7 linked regions of the Macaca fascicularis genome follow. The protein of the gene in region 5 purifies or fractionates together with the protein of the main gene of each other region. This does not show direct contact. Links are inferred from orthologs where the notes say so. Each region holds a gene or a part of one and is shown on either strand. Other genes may lie near its edges.

Region 1 (4,070 bases), on a different chromosome or scaffold from region 5:
CTTATCTCATATTTGCTGATGTTCCAATGGCCAAAGCAAGTTACATTGCCAAGGACAGAGTCCATATGGGAAGGAAGAATACAAGGGTGTGAACACGGGAATGTGTGATTCATCAAAGCCATACCTTTGATGAATTCAACAATTTACCATATTGTTACAAAAAAAAAAAACTCCCTAAATCTCAGCAGTTTACCACAACTAAGGATTATTTCTTACCCATGTCATATTCCAATGTGGGTTGGTGAGGACACTCTATCACACTCATTCAGGGGATCGGGAACCTGCTATCTATCTAGTGGTTCTACCGTTGTCTAAGAACTTCCAGAAGACCAGGAAAGGCAGAGAAGGGAGACTTCAAGGAAGGTGTTACAGACCAGTCCTGGAAGTGGTGTACATCAGTTCCAGCAACATTCCAATGGCCATGTGAACTCAGCCATGTGGCCCCCAGCTAACTGCAGGGGAGTTGGGAAATATCACTCCTAGGAAGAAAAGGAGAAACATTTTTTGATGAGTATCAGTATTCTATGCCACAGTTCATACTTCTTGTCACCAAATATTCCACCCCCTTTTTACCACACACAGAATACACGTATATCCTCCCCAGACACCTGGAATTCTATCTAGTCACTGCATCCAGGATCTGTTGTTGATACACAGTCCTCTTTATTAGATTCAGATGTGTATCCTTATTGCCAGGTAACTCATGAACTATGTAAATATGTACTACGTACCTGTCCCCACTCAGCTACCCTGTGTAGCGTGATAGAGCAAGGGTGGCATACTTGCATTAAAATCTCCCATTCAGAAAAGGGAAGAATGCAAGACACCTAACAGTCGCTCATTTTTTAGTATATGTATTTTTTATGATATTTTTCCAAATGTTGCACGGGAAATATATATACTAAAAAGTATTCGTTTATCTGAAATGCAAATTAATTAGGCATTCTGTATTTTTATTTGCTAAATCTGGCAACCCTCCTCCTACTATAATATAAATTCCATGAAGGTAGGAACCTTCTCCAATGTATATCGAAGGCGTGGCATAGTGCCAGGTCCACAGTGGGAGCCCATATATGCTTACTGCAGGAATTAATGAAGGACTAAACGAGATAGCAAGGGAGTGAATAAGAAGACGAGGAGCGACCCTTGGCGGGCGGCGGGGGAAGAGGACCGCACCACAGCTCGGCAGAGCCTCCCTTAGGCGCGCAGCGGCGGCCGCGCTGAGGTCACGGGCGCCGGCCCTGGTGACGTCATTACGCCCGCGCTCCCCGCCTTGCCGTGATATCAACGGCGCAGGTTTCACTTCTGCTGTTGTGGTGACTGAGGGCTTTCTGGTGACTTCAGCCCAACGCAGGCCGTCTGCGGAGCCGCCGGGTAGTGGCCCCGGAGTCCCACGGTCTCTGTCATTGGCTGTCACCCAGCAGGCCTGGCCGCTCCCGTGCGGGGAGACCATCTCTTCAGGGCAATGTCCAGGCCGAGCAGCGTCTCCCCGCGGCAGCCGGCTCCTGGCGGTGGCGGAGGCGGTGGCCCCTCGCCGTGTGGCCCTGGGGGCGGCGGGCGGGCCAAGGGGCTGAAGGACATTCGCATTGATGAGGAGGTGAAGATCGCAGTCAATATCGCGCTGGAGCGCTTCCGATACGGGGACCAGAGAGGTGAGGTTCCCGACAGGGACCCTGCTGGCCGTCAGGACACCCCCTTACCCCAGCGCCCCCCAAACCTGGGCCCACCGAGTGATGGGGTTGCCTCCGAAGAGGGAGGGAGGACCCGGGCCACCGTCCGGGTCGGGCCTCAGCGGCGGCACCCGGGTCTGGAACGCGGCTGTTAGCCCTGCGGTAAAATGCGAGGTGCTCTGCGCATTAGTGGGGTTATGGGCACTTTGCTCGCTAGCTGCAAGTGTTTTTTTCCCCCGCGTCTTTCAACAGCCTTGGGCGGTTAAGCCACCGTGTTTCAGATATTGGTTAGCCCTAACCCTTAAAAAAATTTTTTTAAGGGATTGTCACCTTAATTATGGCACGTTTAAGCTACAGATGTAGAAAAGCAGAAAGAAATCAAACATATAAGTAAGTGCACCGGTAATACGTTTGAACCCTGAAGCAATCACGCTACCCACTTAAACCTGTTTGGCACACGAAGCCTCTTCCACACCTCCTGAGGTTAGAAAGCCGCTTGTCTTGGATCATATAGTGCAGAACCAGCAACTGACCTGTGGTGACCTGTACAGTATGTTGAGGGCTCATTCGGACCTGCTGGCTTAATTAGGGGACCTCTTACTCTGGACTCTTTATAGTCAAAAATGGGGAATGTTCTGGACAGAGAGATTGTGAATTCACATTAAAAAAAGAGAAAGCCTCAGCAGTATATAACAAATCCCTCTGAAATAGTGAAATATGAATTCTATACAGTTTCGAAAGCAAAGACAATGGAGTTTCATGTTGAGAATTCATAATGTTTGAGCATATCTCATCATTTATTTTGTTAACAAGTAGGGACCAAGTTAAATATGTTCAGTCATTATACCAACTCAAAATTCCAGCACAAGTAAGAGGAGTCGTTTATTGGTGAACATCAGAGGCCTTTATCACATTTAGGTTTAATACATAGATGTCTTTTTATCAATATCAGAATTCTGGTAGACGTTCAGTAGTTATTAATAAAATATATTAATTTTATTAACTTAGAATATGAAATATAAAGTAAGTTAACCTCACATAAAGTATAAATTTGATTGTCTATGTTTTTCATATTTTATGTCTGTGTGTATTACTTGAGAGAAAATTGCCTACCTACAAATTGTACTGCTTTTATTTTTTTCTCATGTAGAGATGGAATTTCCTTCTTCTTTGACCAGTACTGAAAGAGCCTTTATTCATCGACTCAGTCAGTCTCTTGGTTTGGTCTCTAAAAGTAAAGGGTAAGCTGGTAGCATTTCTTATTGTTTTTAAAAAAAGATTATTTGCTCAAAAAAGGGAGAATGTTTCTGAGTACGTTTAAGTAGTTATTACTGTTTTAACTTCACATTCTTAATTGTATCCTGTGTAGATAAAATGATTCAGGTCTGTACCAAATTCACCTCTTTCCTCTTCCTTCTATCTATCTCTCCCTGCCTTTTTTGTTTTGTTTTCTTTTTCCCTAGGAAAATGCTTTTTCCTCTACCCAGCTTAGGTTCCTTGGCTGGGACCCTGCAAATTAGACTGATAAAAAACATATTAACAAGAGAAAAACATAAGCTTATTAAGATATGCATCATGCATACATAGGGGAAAACTCGATAGTAACTCAAACATGGGGCTTATGTGGCATCTTAATAAAGAACAATGAATTTATTTAAAAAATGACAAGACAAAGGAAAAGGACTTTGAACTTGTAGGTGCAGTAAATTGTGGGAAGGTATATATGGGGAAACTAATGGAAGGTATGTGTTGTTTTAGCAAGGTTGGTTATGTAGGTTCCTCTGGTGCTGTCTCTGGGTTAAGAGTCTAGAGTGGTTTCTCTTATTAAGAATAGTCCTGCCCTTTCTGGTAAAGCAGGGGAGGGCAGAGTTCTTTTAGGTCTGCTTCTTCTCAATTGCCTTCAGCTCAAAATAATGGGAGAGTGACATATATTTGGGTGGCATACTCTGAACTCTTTCAAAGGTAAATTTTAAGATGTAAGAAAAAAATAGTTTAAAAGTTGAAGTTGATTTCTTGAGAAAAATATTTTTATTTTTTGATAGAAATGAAATCTCATTTGAAATATTGATGTACAAAAGATAATAAGTACAATTATTTATGAAACTTATGTCTTTTACTGTTACTGCACTGTAATAGTAAGCTTTAGAACATATGTTCATTGTTTTCTTTCCTACCAAGTCAAGAATCGGATGATTAGAAATAATTTTAAAAAGTGGTACAGGAGGAAATTGTTTTGTTTTGTTGGGAGGATCACAGAGCTACAGTGGGGAAAAGTCATTTGAGCCATCCAAACTGAAAAACTCTAAATTCTGTGGACCTATTTCATTTTGTCAGTAAGGATGGTGGGATCAATATAAAGGAAGCTTTCTCACTGTTGGTGCTGTTGACATTTTGGACTGG
Region 2 (4,141 bases), on a different chromosome or scaffold from region 5:
ACAGCCCAGCGCCACACCCTGGGCCTGGTAGTTAAAGATTCACCCCTGACGTAATCCGTTATGTTATCTATAGATTACAGATATTGTATAGAAAAGTACTGTGAAAATTCCTATCCTGTTTTGTTCCGATCTAATTACCGGTGCATGCAGCCCCCCAGTCACGTACCCCCTGCTTACTCAATTGATCATGACCCTCTCACATGCACCCCTTTAGAGTTATGACCCCTGAAAAGGGACAGGAATTGCCCACTCAGAGAACTCGGCTCTTGAGACAGGAGTCTTGCTAATGCCCCCGGCCGAATAAACCCCTTCCTTCTTTAACTCGGTGTGTGAGGAGTTTTGTCTATGGCTTGTCCTGCTACAGTACTCCATCTCATCTTTTTACTTTGCATTTCCAGTTTGCCTTGCACAAGGTCTCTTCTTCCTCTGTGGCTCCTCCACTTACATGTGTCTACCTGCTAATTGGACAGGAATATGCACACTAGTTTTCCTTACTCCCAAAATTCAATTTGCAAATGGGACCGAAGAGCTTCCTATTCTCCTCATGACACCGACACGACAAAGAAGAGTTATTCCACTAATTCCCTTGCTTGTCAATTTGGGACTTTCTGCCTCCACTATTGCTCTTGGTACTGGAATAGCAGGCATTTCAACCTCTGTCACGACCTTCTGTAGTGTTTCTAATGACTTCTTTGCTAGCATGACAGACGTATCATAAACTTTATCAGTCCTTTAGGCCCAAATTGACTCCTTAGCTGCAGTTGTCCTCCAAAACCACCAAGGCCTTGAGTTACTCACTGCTGAAAAAGGAGGACTCTGTATATTTTATTTTATTTATTTATTGAGATGGAGTCTTGCACTGTCCCCCAGGCAGGACTGCAGTGGCCGGATCTCAGCTCACTGCAAGCTCCGCCTCCTGGGTTCACGCCATTCTCCTGCAGCAGCCTCCCAAGTAGCTGAGACTACAGGTGCCCACCACCATGACCGGCTAATTTTTTGTATTTTTAGTAGAGATGGGGTTTCACCGTGTTAGCCAGGATGGTCTTGATCTCCTGACTTTGTGATCTGCCTTCCTCGGCTTCCCAAAGTGCTGGGATTACAGGCATGAGCCACCGCGCCCGACCAAGACACATTTTCTTAACAGATCAAATTCGTCTGCCTGAGCTCTCCCTAAAAGCACAGGCCCGCAATGCTGTATTTCCTTCCTGGGAGGAGGAAAAGCCCGCCTCCTCCGGCTCTGAGTCCCGCCTCGTCACCATTCCGATTGACACTCAAGCTGACCAATCAGCGCGCTGGCGGGAGCGTGGCGCTGCTCCTCTGAAAGCACATGCGCACTGTACTGACTCGGGAGATGGACGGCCGCCGTGTTTTGGGTCCGATCTGGAGTGGCTGGCGGTGGGGCCTGGCTGTAAGCACAGCGCCCGAGGACGCAGGCTTTGGCATCGAAGCCCGGTGATTAAGTACCCCCTCCCTCATGCGGGACGGAGGCTAGGGCAGCGGGAAGGCACGTGCGGGATCTGCATCAGGTAGATGTTACCCGAAAACAGCCCCTTGGCCTCTCTCAGCCTCGGTGCCCTCGACTGTAGGATGGGACCGGTCTACCTGAATTTTCGAGGTCAGCCTAGACATTGTGAGGCATTTGTCAGAGGCCGCAGGTTTTGGGAAGAGGCGTCGGGAGATAGGAATGGGCGGCACCTCGGGACGGAATGACTCCCATTGCTTCTCCCTCGTTGTCCAGGCATCACAGGCAACCCCGCGGCTCCCGCCTACGGTCGGGGCCCCTCGGAGACCAGCCCTTCCCGGGGCTGCTGCCAAAAAACCTCAGTCGGGAGGAGTTGGTTGATGCGCTGCGGGCAGCCGTGGTGGACCGGAAAGGTGAGGGGTGAGAGGCACGGCCGCACAGGGATCGGGAGGGGACTGCCGCGGAGTGAAGCCACGGGATCAGCCCTGCTTCTGCCTCCCACTAGCAGCATGAGCTGGGACGAGCCACCTAATTTGCACCCTCTCCCCGCTTTTAACCTTACTGCCATGATGCAGTAGGGTTAAGAGTGGGGAGAGGATGCAAATAACTATCAAGCCTTGCACATAGCCGGCGCTCAGTTACAGGAGTTGCTATACTAGATTATTGTTTATTGGCCGCGGTGGCTCACGCCTGTAATCCCAGCACTTTAGGAGGCTGACGCGGGCGGATCACCTGAGGTCAGGAGTTCGAGACTAGCCTGGCCAACATGGTGAAACCCCGTCTCTACTAAAAATACAAAAATTAGCCAGGTGTGGTGGCGTCCGCCTGTAATCCCAGCTACTGGGGAGGCTGAGGCAGGAGAGTCACTTGAACCCGGATAGCAGAGGTTGCAGTGAGCCGAGGTCGTGCTACTGTGTTCCAGCCTGGGGCAACAGAGCAAGACTCAGTCTAAAAAAACGACAACAAATTATTGTTTATTGATAGACAAAACACAGGCTTTGAGTCAGACATCTAGGCTCTGTGATCAGCTTGCTGTGTGGCTTTAGGAAAATAACTGAATTTCTCTGAACCCCACTCTCCATTCAGTGATTTATTTCTTTTCTCAACTATTTCTTAAACATATGCTGTGTTCCAGGCACTGTTCTAGGCAGGTATACAGTGCTGAAAAAGATAGATATGGTTTCCGCTCTCAAGGGAGAAATGGATTTCTCTCTAATGGGAGAAATGGGTGTCAGAAAATAAATGAACAAGTTACTAGTGATAAGTGCTATGCATAAACTGAAACAGGATGTTCTAATGGTGAGGAACTGTAGGAAGAGGGCAGACGTTGGATTGGAGATTCAGACCTCTCTGTGATGTGACATTTGAGCCAAGGTGATAGGGAGCCAGACCTGGGAAATTTGGGGACAGAGGAAACAGTAAGTGCCAAGGCTCTGAGGTGGCAGAGGAACAGAAAGCAGTTCAGTTTGGTGTGCGGTAGATAAGTCACGTCTGAGAGTCATGATGGGGCCATGTGCTAAGATGTGTGAGAAAGTGCTCTGGAAATTCTTAAGTGCTGCATAAAGGGTTACTGTTGCTTTTGCTGATGTTCATGTGATGTATGTTTCAGGACCTCTAGTGATGTTGAACAAGCCACAGGGTCTACCAGTGACAGGTACAGGCCGGGTATGTGGGAAGGGAATGCAGCAGAAGGGGGTTTTGTGTCTGGGGAGGGAAAAGTGAAGGCGTGAAGCTTTGGCCTCTTGTAATTTTTCTTTCTTACTTTCCAGGAAAATCAGGAGAGCTGACGTTGTTGTCAGTGCTGCCAGAGCTGAGCCAGTCCCTGGGGCTCGGGGAGCAGGAGCTTCAGGTTGTCCGAGCATCTGGGAAGTAAGTGGTAGGGGTGATAGGAAGCTAGGAGTACAGGCATCCATCTATGGTGGGGAAACAGCTGCTTTGGGATATGCTGACACATTTTCCATAGGAAGGTTTGAGATCGTAGAGGTGGATACAGGTACAGTGAAGAGGAGGAAGCTGATGACTCTGGGTTCAAATCCTCAAGTACAAATGGTGTGATACCAGGCAAAGCATGACACCTCCCTGACGCTGGGCACAGTGACTCACGCCTGTAATCCCAGCACTTTAGGAGGCCAAGGCAGGAGGATCACTTGACCCCAGGAGTTCGAGACCAGCCTGGGCAAAATAGACCCCATCTCTGGAAAAACAACAACAACAAAACCTTCCCTGAGGCCGGGCATGGTAGCTCATGCCTGTAATCGCTAGGACTTTGGGAGGCCGAGGTGGGAGGATTGCTTGAGTCCAGGAGTTCAAAACCAGCCTGGGCAACATGGCAAAACCCTATCTTTACTTAAAAAAACAAAACAAAAGAAACACACACACACACACACACACACACACACACACACACACACAAGCTGGGCATAGTAGCACATGCCTGTAGTCCCAGCTGCTCGGGTGGCTGAGATGGGAGAATCACTTGAGCTCAGGAGATGGCAGCTGCAATAAGCTGAGATCCTGCCACTGTACTCCAGCCTAAACAACCTGAGTGAGACCCTGTCTCAAAAAAACAAAACAAAACAAAACCCTCCCTGAGCCTCAGTTCCCCTAATGGTAAAATAGAGAAAATAATACCTATGCTTAGTGTGCAGTCATTTCTCCATGACTGTACTCGTGGCAGGC
Region 3 (2,205 bases), on a different chromosome or scaffold from region 5:
TGAGAGTCACCCTTGTCAATATATGACAGTCTCTTTAGTTTTCAAAAGAATAACAGTAATTAGTGACATATGCGTGGGGGAGTGAGGGAAGAAGCCTTACCTTAAGGACCAGATCCCTGGCTTCCATGAGAAGTCTGTGCCCAGCTTTTGTTCCATTCTCCACCAGTACCTATTCACAAAAGGGAAAAATATGAAGACTTAAATTACATGAAAGTGTAAATGTCAGTAGCTCTGTAAAAGCATTATAGATGGAAAAGGGGTCCTAAAAAGAAATACGCATTATATATCAGGATGGAGACCCTCAAAGAGGGATAAAGAAACCCATAAAGGAGAAAAATGGTGAAGAATGAAGACAACGAGAGAAGCAAAGGCATGAAATCCATGAAGCTGCTTTAAGACTTAAGGAGAACAAGGAATTTTAACTCACCAGGAAATGACCTGTCTTACGCCATAAGGTTTGAACCACCTCAGTGCGGTCAGCCCTGCTGGGCAGTTCACTTAAGGAAAAGGCTGATACTACTACATCAAACTGCACCTGAGGACCAAGACAAAGAACATGACACACTCAACATCTCTGCATCCCAAGAATATAATAAAGTCCTAGCTGATAAATTTCTTTTATCTTCTGACACTCAGTGCTGGGCTGCAAAGCTCAAGCCATAGTTTTCCATCTGCCACATTCCACATTTAGAATATTCTAAACACTGCCACTTGCCTTGGGTGATACAGGTAGAAACTGTCTGAAAAAGACACCTGGAATATAAGGCTCCCCAGATTCTGAACCACCTGTGGAGAAAAGAAGAGGCAACTTTGAGTGTGTAGGAAGTTAGGTATAAACTGAAGAGATATCCAGATAAGAAACATGGCCCCAAGAATAGGGAAAGTGTCTATCAAAAAGGGCAGGGATGAGCCAGATATGGTGGTGCATGCCTGTAATCCCAGCTACCCCAGAGGATGAAGTGGGAGGATGGCTTGAGGCCAGGAGTTTGAGACCAGCCTGGGTAACAGGTTCTAATTAAAAACAAACAAAAAACAAAACAAAAAAAAAAAACGGCAGGGAGAATATTAGGCCTCTTGTCCTTTGAATCTTACCCAACCCATCCTCAGTCCAGCAGAAACCTCTAATACCGCCCTTTGCTTGACCATAACTTTAAAAGTAAACCAGATTCATCTTAATTTTTACCCTCTTCTCTACTTCCCAGTAAAACACTTTTACTAGTACCCCTTTGCTTTCTGAACTCCCTCAACTTTGGAAATGCTCTTGTACTCACCTTTCAGTAGTTTTTCTGCCAAAGCCAGCATGGCAGTTGATTTGTCCACACACATATATTCACGTAGGCTCTGGCCCCAAATACTGTTAGCAGCCCTAAGATGGCAAAATTATTATAAATCACCAATTCCCATGACCAAGAGTCATCTCTACAAGAGACCCATTTACACCCAACCCCACCCCTGGGAAAAGAGAGTGTTATGTTAAAATAGTTGTCTAGTTAGTAATAAAATAACTAATAGTGTTATTTTCTTGTTTTATTTACAATTGTTTTTAAAAAAAGGTAGACTCAGCTGGGTGCAGGGGCTCATGCTTGTAATCCCAGCACTTTGGGAGGCGGAGGCAGGAGAATCACTTGAACCCGGGAGTGGAGGCTGCAGTGAGCCGAGATCGTGTCACTGCACTCCAGCCTGGGTGACAGAGCGAGACACCATCTCCAAAAAGAGAAAAATAAAGGTAGACTCAAAATACTATTTGTAGGCAAAAAAACTTTGATTGATAATTCCTTTTCTTTTTAATTTTTCTAAACATGCGCCTTTTTTTCACTTGACATTTCTTTAAGTTCTGGCCCCAATCCATATACCTTCTTCTGCCTTGCCCAATCTGATGGAAGAAACATTATAGATTCCCAACTTGCCTATTCTCCCTCTGGTTTTCCAGTCTCTTAATTTTTGAGTGGTGTAAGTATGGCTTTCTAGAGCTAAAATTGACCAAGACAGGGCTGAAAAAAGTTACTCACCAGGTGACAGAACCAGTACCCGAGCCAAAGTCCATCAAAGTTTGTGGCTGAAATGCTGGATTTCGAGCCCGGATCTGAAGAAATATACAACATCCCACAGCAGAGTAATTAGATACTTATTTAGGACCTTGATAAATATGAATTAGGAGCCTATCACAGAGGATGTGAGATGTGAATGCTTTTTGAGATTCAATAT
Region 4 (3,500 bases), on a different chromosome or scaffold from region 5:
GCCTGGGAGACCCAGGTGACGCGGAAGGAGGACACGCCGGTGACGCGGTCGTAGTAACGCTTCTTGACCTTCCCACAGTCCACCACGTACTTGATGCCAGGGATTGTAAGAGACGTCTCGGCAACGTTGGTGGCCACAACACACAACCGAGTCCCCTCCGGTGGAGGCTTAAAGACCTAGGATTCAGGGAGGGGATGGCAGGAAAACACCAGAATCAGGAACGAAATCGTAGAATGGAGGTCCAAGGACAGAGCCACCCAGGCTGGTGTGCTGGAGAGGTAGCAAGGACAAGCCACCCCATCTGGGACCCAGTGCCTTGCAGGACTGTTCCCTGTTCTCCAAAACTACCTCAATATTCCTCAAAACTCTGGGGATGCTGGTCAAACAGCAGATGGAGAGGACCAAGGGCTTGACTAACCTCACTGCAATGTCCTTAAAAGTGCCCCAAAAGCTGGGCACCGGCCCAGCACGGTTACCTGTGCTTGCTTCTCTGGGGCCAGCAGAGAGTACAGCGGGAGCACGTGGAGTGGGAGGGAGGCGTCCGGCTGCTCACCTGGAGGGAAAGCAGACGTTACTGGCAACCGGGCCGGGACAGATGCCCACAGGCAGGAGCCAGCCACAGCTGCCCTGCACCCGTAGGCTGCTCCACCAGAACTCCTTTCTTTGCCCTGCTGAGGAGGCTTCCCTTGGAACCAGCCAGGCCAAACCTGGGGGGACTGCTGAGAGGTTCCCAGGGGCTCTCTGGTCTCTACTGCCCTGAGTCGGATCTGAACCCCTGCTGTGCTGCATAATCTCCTCCTCTAAATCCCTGGCATGGATCCTGGGGGCCTGACTCTGCTCCTCGTGTCCTGGCAGCACTGTGGTAGGCTCAGGCTGAGCCAGTACTGGGGTACCCTCTGCTGCCCCACTCAGCCCCTGGCTGACAGCAGGGCACTGGGTCCATCTACATTCAGGGGTTCCTGCGAGCACACGGAGCGGGGCAACACCCCTGGGCCCTGGAGACCCGCACCTGTCAGCAAAGGGGTTGGCAGCCCCATTACATCCAGCACGGCAAATGTTCCAGGCCTCCTCGTGCCCGGCACTTTCAAAGAACTCAGGAAGCATCGAGGACAAAGCTGCTAGAACCCCGGCCCCCAGGGGGCCACAAGGGCTCTGGGCACAGCCTCAGGGCAGAGCTAATGCACGTGAGCAGGAAGCGGGGCTAGGAACACACCTCCATCTTGCCCGCCATCCCCCAAGTCCAGATCGAGGTCGGAGTCCAGGGCCCCCTCTTCCTCGTCCACTTCCGCCTCCCTGTCCTCATCGCCTTCGCCTGCCGGCAACACTGAGTAATGATCCAAGTTGATCTGGGGCAGCACCTACGGCGAACACATAGACACCCGGGTTGCAGGGACCCTGGGTGTGAGGATGAGGCATGTGCAGGAAGACAGGTGCCCTCATGTGGAAGCCCCAGTCCACACCCACGGGCCGTGTGACCCGGGGCAGGCCACATAACTATCTCTTCCTGTCTGAGTGTCCCCACCTAAACAATGGGGACTATCACAGACCTTGTCTCTCAGGCTGGTGGGAGGGTTGTGTGAACACATGTGAAGAACTTGGATCACTGCCTGACACATCAGTAGTGCAACAGGCAAGTTGGAGACGGCTGAGCGTTTACGCTACTGTCACGGACCGCAAGACCCACGGTGCCTTCATGCAGAGGCTAGAGGAAAGCACCTCCCAGCCCAGCCAACCCAGAGTAGCTGGGAGTACAGGCGCATATCACCATGCCTGGCTAATTTTGTATTTTTAGTAGAGACGGGGTTTCGCCATGTTGGTCAAGCTAGACTTGAACTCCTGACCTCAGGTGATCCACCTGCCTCAGTCTCCCAAAGTGCTGGGATTACAGGCATAGCCACCACGCCTGGCCTTCTTTTCCTTTTCAGAGACAGAGTCTCACTCTGTTGCCCAGGCTGGAGTGCAGTGGGGCCATCACGGCTCACTGCAGCCTTGACCTCCTGGGCTCAGATGGTTCTCCCACTTCAGCCTCTGAGCAGCTGGGCCCACAGGCATGTGCCACCACACTGGATTAATTTTAAAAATTTTTTGTAGAGACAGGGTCTCACCATGTTGCCCAGGCTGGTCTCAAACTCTAGGCCTTAAACGATCCTCCCACCTTGGCCTCCCAAAGTGCTGGAATTACAGGCATGAGCCACTGCGCCCGACCAGGAACTGGATTTTTAATTTCATTTTATTCCAATTACACTTAAACCTAAGCAGCCACATGGTGCTGGTGGCTGCTATCCTGGACAACGTAGCCTTACTCTCCAGGAGTCCCTGCCAGCCCCCCACGTACCTCGGTCCGCGCCTTCTTGGCCCTGGCCCTCGACTTCTTAAACTTCCGCATTTCCTGCGCTGAGTCTTTCTGATCATCGTCCTTTTCTGGAAAAGGGGCAGGTTGGAGAGAAAGGCGTGTGTGGCACGCATGGTCGCTAGCACACTGCTCTTTGTTGTTCAAGGCACGGCCATTTATTCGGGGGTGAGGTGGGGGACGGCAAAGGTGCTGACGCTCCCAGAGGGAAGCTCAGAGGCGGGAGCTGCACCCCAGCCAGGGAGCGTGAGGCCAGGCCCAGCTGCTCAGGGCAGAGCGCGGGTCGGGGAGTCCTCTTTACCTTGTGGCCGGGCTCTGGAGGGTGGGAAAGCCTTCCTGAGCCTGCGGCACAGCGCGTGCACCTCAGCCTGCCCCGTCAGGAACACCAGGATGCCGCCTGCGGAAAGAACGGGCCTCTCTGTTATCCATCAGTCACTCACAAACATTTGCTTAGCAATGGGCACCTGCCAGGCCCTGCTCTGAGAGGCGGGGCTCCAGGGATAATGCGGGAGGACAGGGGTACACAGACATAGACGAGCAGGAGGCAGCACCCCCAGACTGAAGGAGCTGTTGCCAGGGAGTTCAACAAACACAGCGACCACACAGCCCAGCAACGCCACTCCCAGGCACAGACCCAAAAGCCCTGAGAAATGTGCTCAAGTGAAAACCTGCACACCACACTTGTGACAGCGCCGTGGCTGCCCTGAGACCCGAGGCTGCAGGAAGGCTCACTGCCCAAGCTTCCGCCTCGCCTCCCGCCAGCCCCAGTCTCCCAGAGAACGGATGGGAGCCCCGAGAGGCTGTAAGCAGACCAAGGACAGAGCATCATGAAGCAGCGACCTCAGCTTCCTTGAAGGAGGAGTTCAAGCTTGGTGGGAAGCACCCCCACGGCTCCCTGCCTCCCTAACATGAAGAAAGTCAGCCTTGGGCCCGAATTCGGCACACAAGAGTCTCTGATTAGGCTGGGCGCGGTGGCTCACACCTGTAATTCCAGCACTTTGGGAGGCTGAGGCAGGCAGATCACCTGAGGTCAGGAGTTCGAGACCAGCCTGGCCAACATGATGAAACCCCATCTCTACTAAAATACAAAAAATTAGCCGGGCGTGGCAGTGTGCACCTGTAATCTCAACTCCTTGGGAGGCTGAGGCAG
Region 5 (4,151 bases):
GCACCACGCCTGGCCCCTGAATTTGACTTTAGACACCTCAGATAAGCAGAATCATACACTATGTCTTTACTGAACATAAAGTCCTCAAAGTTCATCCATGTTGTAGTATGTGACAGCATTTTCTTCCTTTTAAGGCTGAATAATAATCCATTGTATGTACACGCCACATTTTGTTTATTCTTCCATCAGTGAACATGTGGGCTGCTTCCACCTCTTTGTTATTGTGAATACTGCTGCTATGAACATGAGTCTGCAAATATGTCAAGACCCTGCTTTCCATTTTTTTTTTTTTTTGCTATATACCTGGAAGCAGGAGTTCTGGGGTAGTTCTATTTTTAATTTTTTTTGTCATACATACATATTTTTAATTGCTTAAGAGGAATCTCTTCATATTGTTTTATATAGTAGTTTCACCATTTTATAATCCCAGCAGCAGTACACAAGAGTTCTAATTTCAAAGTGGTATATTTTTATCTTGCATTTACTTGACGATTAATGATATTGAGTACTTGTTGATTTAGACTTTTAGTTCATTTAGAGCTCCATTTTAATAAGGTGTCCTTTTTTTTTTTTTTTTTTGATCGATTTTTCAAATGGCTTGTCTGGAAGAATCCTTTATATATTATAGATAAAGGATCTTTATTGGTTATATTTGTTGCAAATATCTTCTATTGTATAGCTTCCTGTTAATTTCTTAATGGCGTTATTTGGCAAGTTTATATTTTCTTTTCTTTCTTTCTTTTTTTTTTTTTGAGACAGTCTCACTCTGTCACCCAGGCTAGAGTGCAGTGGTGCGATCTCGGCTAACTGCAACGTCCGCCTCCAGGTTCAAGCAATTCTCCTGCCTCAGCCTCCTGAGTAGCTGGGATTACAGGCGCACACCACCACATCCGGCTAATTTTTGTATTTTTTAGTAGAGATAGGGGTTTCACTATGTTGGTCAGTCTAGTCTTGAACTCCTGACCTCGTGATTCGCCCGCCTCGGCCTCCCAAAGTGCTGGGATTACAGGTGTGAGCCACTGCACCTGGCCGCAAATTTATATTTTCTAATGGAGTTCAATTTATCAATCTTTCCTTTATGGTTAGTGTGTATACCTACATTTCTTGTCTGTTTAAGAACTCTTAGCTACTCTTAGAAAATACATTTACTTTCTAGAATAATTATTCTCTTACCTTTTATACTTAGATCTACAGTCCATTATACAATATGATTATGACTACAAGGTGAAATTCCATTTTTTAACATGAATATCCAATTGATCCAATATCATTTATTGAAAAGACCAACTTTCCAGTTCCATCTTCATCATAAATGAAGTGTCCACACATGTATGGGCCTGTTATTGGACTCTTCGGGACATAAGTCCTGTTGACTTATGTGTATCATTGTGTCCAAACTGCATCGTTGTAACTACTGTAGCTTTATAGTAAGTCTTTTTTCCTTCTTGTTTTTATAGACAGGATCTCACTATGTTGCCCAAGTGGCCTCAAAAACTCCTGGGCTCAAAGGATCCTCCTACCTCAGCCTCCTGAGTAGCTGGGACCACAGGCATATGCCACCATGCCCAGCTTACAAATCTTGATATTCATAGTACGCACTCCCACTTCAAGATTGTTTTGACAGTCTCTCACCTTGATATTTTGCATTTCCCTATAATACTGTGTATTTCCACAAAAACATTATGGGTGTTCTGACTTGGAATGCATGAAGTCTATACATCAATTTGGGAAGAAGTGACATTTTTACAACATTGAGTTTTTCAGCCAGCAAATATACAACTTCTCTCCATTCATTTAGGGATGGAATCCCTGACCTTTTGATTTTTAAGTCCTTCCTGGGTTTTATCCCCTCCCTTGCCGTCTTATCCGCGACCTAATACAAGGATCAGGGCCCCTTCCTCCTCACCTGACTTAGGGTCGCCAGGTTTTCCATTGGCCATGGGGGGAGGGCCCAGAAGGCTGGGTGGTCCTAAGAGCAGACATGAAAATATGGTCATCAGAATGGATTAAAGGACTGATGATTCTGTTCTTAGGCGTTTTTCTTGTATTACTCATTTCTTAATTCAACCAGTAAAGTCAGGTATATTTTCAGCAGTCTTAGGAGTTCTCACCCCATCTATCTGCTCTTTTTTCTGCAAAGCTGTTTCAGGGTTTGCAAAAAGTAGATATTCAATCAAAGGCGATAATGCAGGAAAAGATACAACTTTTTCTTTTCCTCACCGTACCGTCGCTATCCAAAACAACCTAAGTGTCTCCAGACATAAACCAATCCCTCACCTTAACTGCTGGCCAGTCAGTTCTCTTCTCCTTTCACTCGGCCAGAGGACTAGTTTAGAGAAAGCGGCACCTGTACCTTTTCAGTCAAAATCCGGATACAAACTGTCAACCCAGTCATCGCAATCTGCAACATCTCTACTGCCCCTTTCCCCTACTGTTCTGCGGCTGCGCAAAAGAGCTCTTTACTCTCTCCACCCCCGCGTTCCAGAAAGGTTTGGGGCCGTATTGAGGTTGACGGTTCCAGTAAGAGAACTCCTGGTTCAAGGCTCCATTTGGGACAGCCCTGCTGCCATCCCTACCCAGCGCGTGCGCCCTTCCTCCTTCCGTTAGAGCCCCTTCCTTCGCACCTTATTAGCCCCTAGCCCTTCGCCCGGACGGGCTTGACAGGCATGTGCACATCCCTCCCTGACCCCTCACCGATGGGACTCCCATCCTCCTCATCTCCAGTCTCTTCCCGCTCGGGCAGTGGGGGTTGCTGCTGTGTCGGTGGCTGGTGCTGATTCTGCTTCTTTCGTTTCGGCATCGTGGCTGCGGCAATGGCTGCAGCGGGATTTGGAGGGTAGTGAGGAAGGGGCACGCGGGGATTCTGTTTCCGCTTCCGGGGGGTCGGTGGGCAGCAATGCCCAAGCTCCCACCATTCCACTTCCGGAAGGTTGCGGAGAACATCTGTGGCGGCCGCATTCTGGAGTAAACTGCCTCTCTCCGTCTCTGCCAGGCATGGCGGCAACCTCACACCTTCCCTTTGCTGCGTTTCTATAAATGCTTTGAAAAAATTCCGCTCTTCTTCCCTCGCTGGAAAACACCACAACCAGCTCCTCAGAGTGTGTCACAGAGTCAACAGGCTCTCGGGCCAGAAGGCCTGAGAAGAGGACTGTCGCACCGTAAGATCGCCACATCCGGTCCTCGGTTACTATGGTAACAGCTGCAGGCACAACTTTGTGCCCTTTGACCTCCCTCCAAAAGCCCTTGTCCCGCCTGGGTTTCGCTTCTCGCCCGCTTTTGCACTTCTGATCTGTAAACCTGCTCCTTATCATCGTTCCCACAAGGAATTTGGGTCCCAGCAGGTCGGCAGCCAGGACTCTTCAGACCGCCGCCCTCCCCTAAAGACCTCTGACCGTGCCCCCGGTGTAGCCCAGCAACCTGGCTTCATTCCCGGGACGCACCGTCTCGGCTTTCCACTAAGGTCAAGCCTGGGGGTTGGGAGTGTAGCCTCAGCGAGTCCACTCCTCCTCTCCCCTAGGTAATAGGCCCCGCCCTCCGCTCCGCCGCCCCCTCCAGGTGAGTGGTAGCTTCTCCCGGGAGCGCAAGGTAGTGATGACACGCGCTCCCCCCTCCTCCGAACGCGAGTTGGTAGCGTCCGTGACGGAGTTAGCCTGGTCCTCCCACGCGCGCCTCCTTCCTCGCCGCCGGGGTGCTCTCTCCGTGCCACTGGCTCTCACGTGCCAGTAGCCCACCCCGCATCATCCTTTCGCCTCGCTCCTGGAGGGAAGTGACTGTGTATCTCCCCTGTCCGCCTTCCATCGCCGCCGCGGCGGCAATTCGGTCGGGCCCGCCCGCTGACGTCACCTGCTAGCTCCGCCTCCTCTAGGGTCCCGGGCCCCTGCGGCGGGGACTGCCCCGGGGGGCAGTCAGTTGAGGCGGCAGGAGCTCGGCGGAGGGCGGGCCAGGTGACTGGTCCGGGCCATGCCGAGGAAGAAGCCCTTCAGCGTGAAGCAAAAGAAGAAGCAGTTGCAGGACAAACGGGAGCGGAAGAGAGGTCAGTGCGGGAGCTGGAGGAGGAGGCGGGGCTCGGGCTTCCGCACAGCTGGAAGGAGGGGTGTGCCCGCTGCACCTCTGGGGGTCGTGGGAGGGGGTCGTGGGACCGCGCCAACCCT
Region 6 (4,196 bases), about 3.7 Mb from region 5:
CTCATCACTCTCTTCATCTTCTTCGTCATCTGTCTCAGCTTTGGAGGCAGAAGGGCACCCCTGGGATGCCATTCCACTAGGGCCCTGGGGGACAAAGAAGTTTCTCTAAGGAATCCCTTGCCCTAGAGGGTTTGGTTCTTGCATTCCTTCTCATGCTCCCCCATCAGTCAACCTGGACTCCCTGGTGGCCAGTGCAGGGGAAGGACAATGTCTCTCTGAAGGCTTTACCCCATCCACACCTCACCAGAATCCAAGGAGGCGGGGGTGTCTTCAGAGTGGGAAGAGGTGCCTTGGAGCCGAGCTCTTCTCTTTTTTCTCTCGCCCTCCTCACTTTTGTCTTGCAACATTGCATATTTGGAGATGACCTCATCCAGCCGACTCATGGCCAAACTCCGGTTTTCCCGAAGGCGCCGGGCCAACACAGGATCTGATAGTGCAGGGTCAATGCCTACGTGGGAAAATATAAAGTCAGAGCACTCAGCCGTGGAAGGGACTAGAAGAGTACAAACCCTAGAAAGGACTAGAGAGATGCCCCATCCGCCTCATACCTGACATATAAGGGTCACTGAGAGGCATCCCACTAACCCCCTACCTGGCCTATAGTCATCTGTGAGGTGGCAGCCAAAGTTGTAGATGAGATCGAGGTGACGTCGTTCCTGTAACCTGATGCCCACATCTCGGAAGGCATCCTGAGCCATGAGCTGGAGCTGCTGTCGGGGGAGGCCAAGGCTGTGTCGGGCAGCTGCCTTCTCTACTGCCCGAAGCACATCCCCATAGTCAGGGAAGGTATCAGGCCCTGGCTTGTTGATGAGCCGCTCAATGCGCCTGTTAACCTCTGGGTAGCGGGTGCCACGGTAGGTGATGCGCTGCTCTATGACACGGCCGGTCAGTGAAGAGCAGTCTTTCAGCTCACATAGTCGCCCAAAGAGGCGGATCAGCTTACGCTTCAACCGTGCCTCCTGCAGGTATGTGGAGTCTGGGTCATCCAATTCTGAGAGATCCAACTCCTTTTCCTGCAGCCGCCGGATCTCTGCCACATAGAGCGCCAGCAGCTGCTCCAAGCGCTGGATCTGCCGCCGGGAACCACGGGTCCTTGGGGCCTGAGAGGCAGTGTTTTCAGCGTTTGTGGGGTCCAAGGAGAGGTGTGTGGGAGGGTTATTCCCAGAGGGCTCATTGGACGTGGTGGCAGCAGGGGCCAAGTTCAGCTTCTTTTTGGCTGAGTGGGCCTTGAGAACAGTGCAGAGCTCATTGATGTAGACATAGAGCTTAGATGGCCGGCTCTGGGCCCGAGATAGGACCCGAGAGAGGATGTTGCAGAACTCCGCCGAGGCCAAAAACAGAGAGTGGGCACGTTGCTGCCGGTTAGAGAGGAATGGGACCACCTCAGGGTGGTCCGCTGTCTGCGTCTTACAAAGTTCAAGGAACTAGAAGGTTCAGGGGAAGAAGGAAGGGGAAGAGAGACAAGGGAGGGGGTTGAGAGAAAGGGGAGTGGGGTTAGTGGGGAAGAAAGGACAGGAGAGCCAGTCAGCCATCCCCCTCCCTGGGGTACAACGATCTTCCCCGCTAAAGCTCACCTCTTGGAACAGCTTCTCATTCTCCAGCTTGTAGCACTTCTTGCCGCCCGAACTACTGCTTCCTCTGGCCCCATGAGGCTCAGAAGAGCTAGGGGCTTCTGCCCCTGGTGAGGCTGTACTGGGGAGTGGGTGGGAGGGCCCTGGCTGAGCAGCTGCTTCATCTTCGTCATCATCATCCAGCACAATGATGCTGTTAGCGGTGGCCATGGGGGAATCAAATCCCCCGGAAGGAGGAAGTGGTGGGGATTTCAGAATTCCTGCTGGAAGGGGATGGGGCCTCAGAATGAGCCCCTCCAGCATAGCCCCATCCCTTCACCTCACGCATTTTCTGAACTCCTTGGGTTTCAGCCCTGACCAACACTGTCTTCACCACCTGATTTCAATAACCATTAGTTCTATATGCTTTTCGGGCCCTTCAAGTGGTGTGTGGGGGGGGCAAACCCCCCCACACCTTAAGTTGCCACCTTCTGCTCCACCCCTCACGTCGATTTCCGGTCTTTCTGTTGCATTTCCCCACTCTTTCTCAGAGTTGGCAAGTTGGTTCTTTCTCCCACACTGCACCCTAAATCGTCCTGACACCCCCTGGCACAGACAACACACTCCTGTGGGCGCCACCTCATGTGTTTGCCCCCTCTGCCCTCAAACAAGTCAACCCCACACCCGCCCCATCCTGATCACCCCAACTCCTAGACTCTCTGAGGTGAAAGAGGTTCCCTCCCAACAGTCCGTTCTCTTTTCCCCTCCTTGAATTATCTCCGTATTTCACCCTCAGATGAGTCTCCTCAAACTGGGCCTTTAGGTTGAAGATATTTTACCCAAGTCCCCTCCCTTTCACCCCACCCTAATTTTCCCCATTCTCTCGGAGACCTGTAACTAATTAGAAGTCCCCCCGCACCGCGCTACGCTCTCCCGATTCCTCTTAGATCCCAACCCTGGGTCCGGCCGGTCCGGTAGATGCGCTTCCCGCCAAATCCCCCTCCCCCAGTTCAGCCCCCGGCCGCCCCACTCCCTTTCAGGGATAGGAAGGTACCACAGTTTTCCCCTCAGACTCAGAGCCCGGCTCTCCCCAATACCTCTGCCTCGATATCCCCGCCCCCGCCTCTGATCCCCGCACCATCCGGCCCCCACCTCAGAAACCGTCTCTCGAGGCGACCCTCGCCGCAGATCTCAGAACCTCGCATGGTTCCCTCCGCCTTCCTTCCCACTCCCACCGCAGGCCCCACTACGGACCGGAAGCAACAGAGTTTCCGCCTGCATGCAACTAAGCGCCGCCATATTGTCGTACGGAACAAGGCTTCCTGTGGCCGGAAGCGGCCGTAGGCCCGCCCCGCGAACACCTCCAGTGCCGCCCACATAGTCAGCGCGGTCTTCCAGGTCGGAGTTTGTCTCCCCGAACCCGGGCGTCCCAAAGCAGCTGGGGGCCGCCATTTTGCCGTACGGCGCTGGCTACGCCAGAACTTCGGTGCGCAGCCGGAGGAGCTCTTTTCACCCGGTGCTTCTCTGACTCCGCCAATCAGAAACTTCCTCCCTGGGGTCCAACCGCCGGCGAGTAGCGCGTGGGGAGAACGGAGCCTCCTTTCCAAGGAGGGGCAGGGGAACCGAACAGGGTGGTTTAGGAATTGGGCTTTCCAAAGCTGCGTAGGGTTTCAGGGAATGGCAGAAGTCTCTTAAAAGGGAAGTAAAACCTTTATCTTCAACTAGGCTATTGGCAAGCTATCTGGCCCTGCTTTCCTGTCCCCCAGGTTCCCATTTCCACGGCTTATTCGGCTGACCCAGCCCCTTCCCCTGCAAGGGCGGCGCGCTCCTTGCCGCTGTCCAGCAGCTGCTTCTACTGCCAGGTGCTGCGTCCCACAGTCGTTATAACACATGCGTACAAATAAGCACAATGCGCCATACAAAAGTGTTATTATTATTACTATTGTTGCTGATTTGCTTTTCAAGCTTCACCACAGAACTAATGACCAGACGGTTGGGACCTGAATGGTTCTCCTCCAGAGGGGGTCCTCGAAGGGCCGTCGGTGCTGACTGTGAGGCCGTGCTTTGTCGTGGAGGCCCAGGGTCTGCGGATGGGCGATGATGGGGTGGGGCTTGGAGGAGAGTTTGAGCCTCTGCAAGGGCTGCTGTGAAACGAAATGAGGCTCATAAAATACTTTGGGTTTCCTCCTCCTCTTCTGGGAGAGGTTAAAAAAGAATGAAGGATGAAGAAACAGACTTGATACCCACCTCGTTGAGTTTAGGGAGGTTGGAGGGAGTCGTGGAGGCAAGGCTGGGTCCAGAGGTGAGCTTATGAGGAAACCAGAAAGATTAACAAGGTCCCAATCGCAAAGATTCCCATTTCCACAAGTGGTGGGCATCTTGCCGCTTAACTAGGTTCACAGAATTTACTACATCCCTAACGCTGAGTCATAGAATCGCAAACACCCGTCCATTGAACAATCCCACATCACTTCTCTCCAGTCGTCAAAGTCTACAGCTTTCAAAATGGGGAACATAAAAAACCTCCGCGAGGACTGGAACTTGGGAGATGTAAGGGATTTAATTTCCAGAACCTCAACTTTCCCAAAATTGGTCTTCCTAAGGAAACACCTGCAGTACAGGTTCTCATTCTTCACTTCTCCTTTT
Region 7 (3,500 bases), on a different chromosome or scaffold from region 5:
GATTAGACATAATCTGTTATCATAGAGCCTGTCATTTGATAGGGAAGATACAGGCTGCATTAATTTACCCTCCTCTGTTTACAGAGACACATGATACTAATTTGCCACCTACTGTTCCAGTGCTGCCTAGTGACAGATGACTCATCTGCTGGGCCAGAGGGCTGATCATCGATGCGGGCTGTAGTGACATGGTGTGCTCCATTGAGGGAGTTAACACGGCACCCTGGGAAGTTGGAGACAAGAGCAAAATTAGACAAACTGAGGCAAGAGTCAAGATCCTGTAATTACCTTTTGCAAAGGAAATACCTTAGTTTGTTTAAGAATGTGAAGCAAAAACAAGCTCCCTCAATCTTGCAAATGGCATCATAAACAGTTTCCTAAAAATCTTCTAAATTGCTCTTCCTGAGAGTTTTGTAAGAGCATTAGGGGAAATGATATCTTGGCATTCACTTCACAACAATCCCTGTGTTAAAGCCACTGGTCCCTCCTTTCCCTCCCTTTCCCTTCACTTCCTGTAACTGGAAGCAAGCTAGTCCAGCAGGAGGAGCTATCATAGGAAAAACAAACTGATTATCACTGCCTGTCTAGGGTTACAAAATGCTTTCTTAAAAAAAAAAACTGGAAAAAAAGGCAGTTGATGTTTTCTCCAGTCACAAAACAATGTATTATATTTAATAAGATCAGTACAGTATTTTGTTTAATAATGTTCTATCCAGATAATCGTTTGGTTCAACATCAGGTTGTTAGGATTGAGAGTACATTTCTTCATTCACTCAGTGTTTCTCAGAACTTTAAGTTACACTTTGGTGCCTGGGAGGGAAGACAATTAGGATATGAATAATAATCTGAGTCCAGAATCTTTTATTTCATTTGAAAAAATGTTGGTCATTAAAATCACATTAAATATATTCAAGAAAATAGGAGGGAAAAAAATCGCTTCTAACTCAGCCAGTCTAATACAACCACTGTTAGCAATGTCAGGGTACTACTGCCAGATTCTAGCCTCTGTGTGTTTCTGTACAGGTTCAATCAGAGCGCATCAACAATTTCATATCCTAGGTTTTTGCTCTTAACTTAGCATTCTATTCTAACCATTCACCTAGCTTATTGAAAAATTATCATTATTATCATTTTTTAAATGGTTACACTGATTGTATAAACCAAAATTTAATGAACTCTTTATTTTTGGACTTTTTGCAATCACCTCATTATCTGAGAATGCAAGTATTCTGACATGCTCTGTAACTACTAACATATGTTTTGGTATCACTGTACCTGGCATCCCTTAAATACAACTGTTATTTATTGATAATTAGATAGACAATCTAGGACAGATTTAGGTGTACAGGCACTTTAATTCTGATTTAAATCAGGCAGTGTAAAGCTGGGTGGGGAAGGGTAATGAATCCTCAGATAGCAACCTTCTGCGTACATTCCTAATGTCTCCTCAAAGATGTTAAGCTCAGATACGTGCAGTCTTTTTCTCAAATGTTGCCAAAAAGAAAAAAAGATATAGATGTGGGTCAGAGATAATGTTTGTCCTTAATACATTCTGTTAGATTTTTTTTTTTTTTTAACATGCATCATCAAAAAGCATGTGGTAACACGGAAATGACTCAGAAGCCTAGAAGACGGTGGAGGAGCTTCCTGCTCTTTTTTCTCATTCATTGGCACCATCTGTAATAGGAAGTCCTCAAACTCAAAGTAGATTGATTTCCAAGCATTCCAAAATAGGGTAGCATGGAGTATCAGGGATATAGATTGCTACGGGCATGTGTGGATCAGTGCATGTATATTATGTACACATGTACAGGTAAGTGTGGGTTTGAAGATGTGTCTATGTATGTGCACATGTATAGATCTATATGTATGTGCATATATCACACAAAACATATACATATATCAGAAAGCGCCTCTCCTATGTCATCACCTAAACATGCTTTATCTGCTTCTTAAAAGTCATCTCAGCAATTTCTCATTCAGAACCTGTTATCCCTGGATTGCTATTTCATACACATGGTCTTACGTTGCAGTATCCACTTTAAAAGGTATCCCAAGACAAATTGCTGTCTGAACATAAGGCCAAGAATAGAGTTCTTTTTCTAAGCAACCAAATCTGTTTTTATTTTACACATATTGTGAACCATATTGCTTACCAGGATTCCCATTTTGCATCAGTTACTAGAAAGCTTAGAGCCAAATTTGTGATTTTCTCATGTGAGCATGCAGGTAACTGTGTTGGACATCCTTAGCCTTATTGTAACTTTGTTCTCCATATGTATTTTTCAATTTTCAAACCCTTCTTCCACAAACTAGATATTCCACAAACTAGATCTTATGTGTCTTTGAAAAACACATGAAATACACTATATAATAAGGTAAAGTATAACTCACTCAATAAAAAAAGTGATATATATGAATGCTCACGTGATTAAGAAATCACATTTGTTATTTACCAAATAATGTGCTACCACTTTAGTGTTTATAATCTCCATAGAAAGGATAAGTAACACTGATGAAAATCTTATCTTGGTTTTGAACTTTATATCTGCATTAAACAGAATGTAAAAAATGAGAGCAGTTTTATCCCAAGTACTATTAAAAATGTAGCCTCTCAACTGAATGATCTCTAAAGAGCTGGTATGAATAAGAAAATGGTGCCCTGCCTCAAATATGATACATTTTAAGTTCTTATAGAAAATTTAACTTAATAATCTTCTACCAAGTTGTTTTACGACAAGGATGAGAAGTTTTATAATGAATTTGTACACTCTCGTATTCCATGTTTAAAATTTCCCAAATCCTATACCACCCTTGGCAAATGGTTTTAACCCAGAGAGAATATACACATAACTTACTTGTAAAATACAAAGTCATTAAGATGAAAAACTTACAGGGTGCTGTAGAATATATGGTTGAGGTTGCATCCAAGAAGGACTTTGCACCTAGAAAAGGGAGGATTTTGAAAGAAATATTGATTTTCATTGTAAAGCTTACCTATTTCTTTAGAACTCTTTTTAATCATGTTAAAAATCTACAGAAAGAAAACAAGGAAACAATACTATCAATGATTAAAAAGATTAAGGCAGTTAGAATTCTTGGCAAACTGGTCACTCTGAATAGGATGAAATGATTATTCAGAAACAATTTCTATTTGCCCACTCAAGAAGTAATTGTTGAGTATCAGGCAACAAAGAGAAAAAGGCGAAAAAGACATGGGCCCCACCCCCAAGAAATTTACTATCTATGCAAGGGAGATAAACACAACTCAAATAAAGAGTGAAAAGTGTTAACAATCAAGGTATGAACTAGGTGCTTTAGAATTACACATGAATGACAATTAATTCCAGCACATCTTATTAGAAGTTAACCCTTAAAGTATGTGCTTATTTAATACAAATAACGAAATTCAATTTCTCTTTGATACCTAGGACATTAGTTTTAGAAATCTTGTATTGTGGTCAACAATTTCTAGTTAGTGCAGAAAATAAAAATCTGAA

The links.
Region 1: the proteins of PRR3 (region 5) and YTHDC2 purify together in Homo sapiens (co-immunoprecipitation; 3 studies listed by BioGRID and IntAct, with this or other methods). This does not show direct contact. The link is inferred for Macaca fascicularis from reciprocal best matches to the Homo sapiens genes PRR3 and YTHDC2.
Region 2: the proteins of PRR3 (region 5) and RPUSD3 purify together in Homo sapiens (co-immunoprecipitation; 3 studies listed by BioGRID and IntAct, with this or other methods). This does not show direct contact. The link is inferred for Macaca fascicularis from reciprocal best matches to the Homo sapiens genes PRR3 and RPUSD3.
Region 3: the proteins of PRR3 (region 5) and METTL17 purify together in Homo sapiens (co-immunoprecipitation; 3 studies listed by BioGRID and IntAct, with this or other methods). This does not show direct contact. The link is inferred for Macaca fascicularis from reciprocal best matches to the Homo sapiens genes PRR3 and METTL17.
Region 4: the proteins of PRR3 (region 5) and DHX37 purify together in Homo sapiens (co-immunoprecipitation; 3 studies listed by BioGRID and IntAct, with this or other methods). This does not show direct contact. The link is inferred for Macaca fascicularis from reciprocal best matches to the Homo sapiens genes PRR3 and DHX37.
Region 6: the proteins of PRR3 (region 5) and DAXX purify together in Homo sapiens (co-immunoprecipitation; 3 studies listed by BioGRID and IntAct, with this or other methods). This does not show direct contact. The link is inferred for Macaca fascicularis from reciprocal best matches to the Homo sapiens genes PRR3 and DAXX.
Region 7: the proteins of PRR3 (region 5) and RBMS1 purify together in Homo sapiens (co-immunoprecipitation; 3 studies listed by BioGRID and IntAct, with this or other methods). This does not show direct contact. The link is inferred for Macaca fascicularis from reciprocal best matches to the Homo sapiens genes PRR3 and RBMS1.

What each region holds. Positions count from the first base shown.
Region 1 is NC_088380.1:120,064,737-120,068,806, forward strand, and holds the start of YTHDC2 (3'-5' RNA helicase YTHDC2), read left to right. Parts: upstream 1-1,270; 5' UTR 1,271-1,465; coding exon 1,466-1,652; intron 1,653-2,820; coding exon 2,821-2,911; intron 2,912-4,070. UniProt on the Homo sapiens protein: 3'-5' RNA helicase that plays a key role in the male and female germline by promoting transition from mitotic to meiotic divisions in stem cells.
Region 2 is NC_088376.1:148,112,921-148,117,061, reverse strand, and holds the start of RPUSD3 (mitochondrial mRNA pseudouridine synthase RPUSD3), read left to right. Parts: upstream 1-1,341; 5' UTR 1,342-1,351; coding exon 1,352-1,452; exon of another isoform or gene 1,453-1,530; coding exon of another isoform or gene 1,531-1,615; intron 1,616-1,738; coding exon 1,739-1,875; intron 1,876-3,071; coding exon 3,072-3,116; coding exon of another isoform or gene 3,117-3,127; intron 3,128-3,231; coding exon 3,232-3,331; intron 3,332-4,141. UniProt on the Homo sapiens protein: Catalyzes uridine to pseudouridine isomerization (pseudouridylation) of specific mitochondrial mRNAs (mt-mRNAs), a post-transcriptional modification necessary for their translation.
Region 3 is NC_088381.1:88,659,367-88,661,571, reverse strand, and holds part of METTL17 (ribosome assembly protein METTL17, mitochondrial), read right to left. Parts: intron 2,084-2,205; coding exon 2,010-2,083; intron 1,367-2,009; coding exon 1,272-1,366; intron 787-1,271; coding exon 716-786; intron 536-715; coding exon 428-535; intron 170-427; coding exon 101-169; intron 1-100. UniProt on the Homo sapiens protein: Mitochondrial ribosome (mitoribosome) assembly factor. Binds at the interface of the head and body domains of the mitochondrial small ribosomal subunit (mt-SSU), occluding the mRNA channel and preventing compaction of the head domain towards the body.
Region 4 is NC_088385.1:132,122,749-132,126,248, forward strand, and holds part of DHX37 (probable ATP-dependent RNA helicase DHX37), read right to left. Parts: intron 2,748-3,500; coding exon 2,652-2,747; intron 2,422-2,651; coding exon 2,336-2,421; intron 1,359-2,335; coding exon 1,214-1,358; intron 554-1,213; coding exon 477-553; intron 177-476; coding exon 1-176. UniProt on the Homo sapiens protein: ATP-binding RNA helicase that plays a role in maturation of the small ribosomal subunit in ribosome biogenesis. Required for the release of the U3 snoRNP from pre-ribosomal particles.
Region 5 is NC_088378.1:142,096,965-142,101,115, forward strand, and holds the start of PRR3 (proline-rich protein 3), read right to left. Parts: upstream 2,801-4,151; coding exon 2,695-2,800; intron 2,434-2,694; exon of another isoform or gene 2,278-2,433; intron 1,970-2,277; coding exon 1,907-1,969; intron 1-1,906. Other genes in the region: GNL1 (guanine nucleotide-binding protein-like 1), read left to right, coding at 3,961-4,033.
Region 6 is NC_088378.1:138,379,511-138,383,706, reverse strand, and holds the start of DAXX (death domain-associated protein 6), read right to left. Parts: upstream 2,801-4,196; 5' UTR 2,756-2,800; coding exon 2,703-2,755; intron 1,835-2,702; exon of another isoform or gene 1,782-1,834; coding exon of another isoform or gene 1,765-1,781; coding exon 1,575-1,764; intron 1,425-1,574; coding exon 593-1,424; intron 449-592; coding exon 240-448; intron 85-239; coding exon 1-84. UniProt on the Homo sapiens protein: Transcription corepressor known to repress transcriptional potential of several sumoylated transcription factors. Down-regulates basal and activated transcription.
Region 7 is NC_088386.1:55,711,549-55,715,048, forward strand, and holds part of RBMS1 (RNA-binding motif, single-stranded-interacting protein 1), read right to left. Parts: intron 2,946-3,500; coding exon 2,895-2,945; intron 224-2,894; coding exon 113-223; intron 1-112.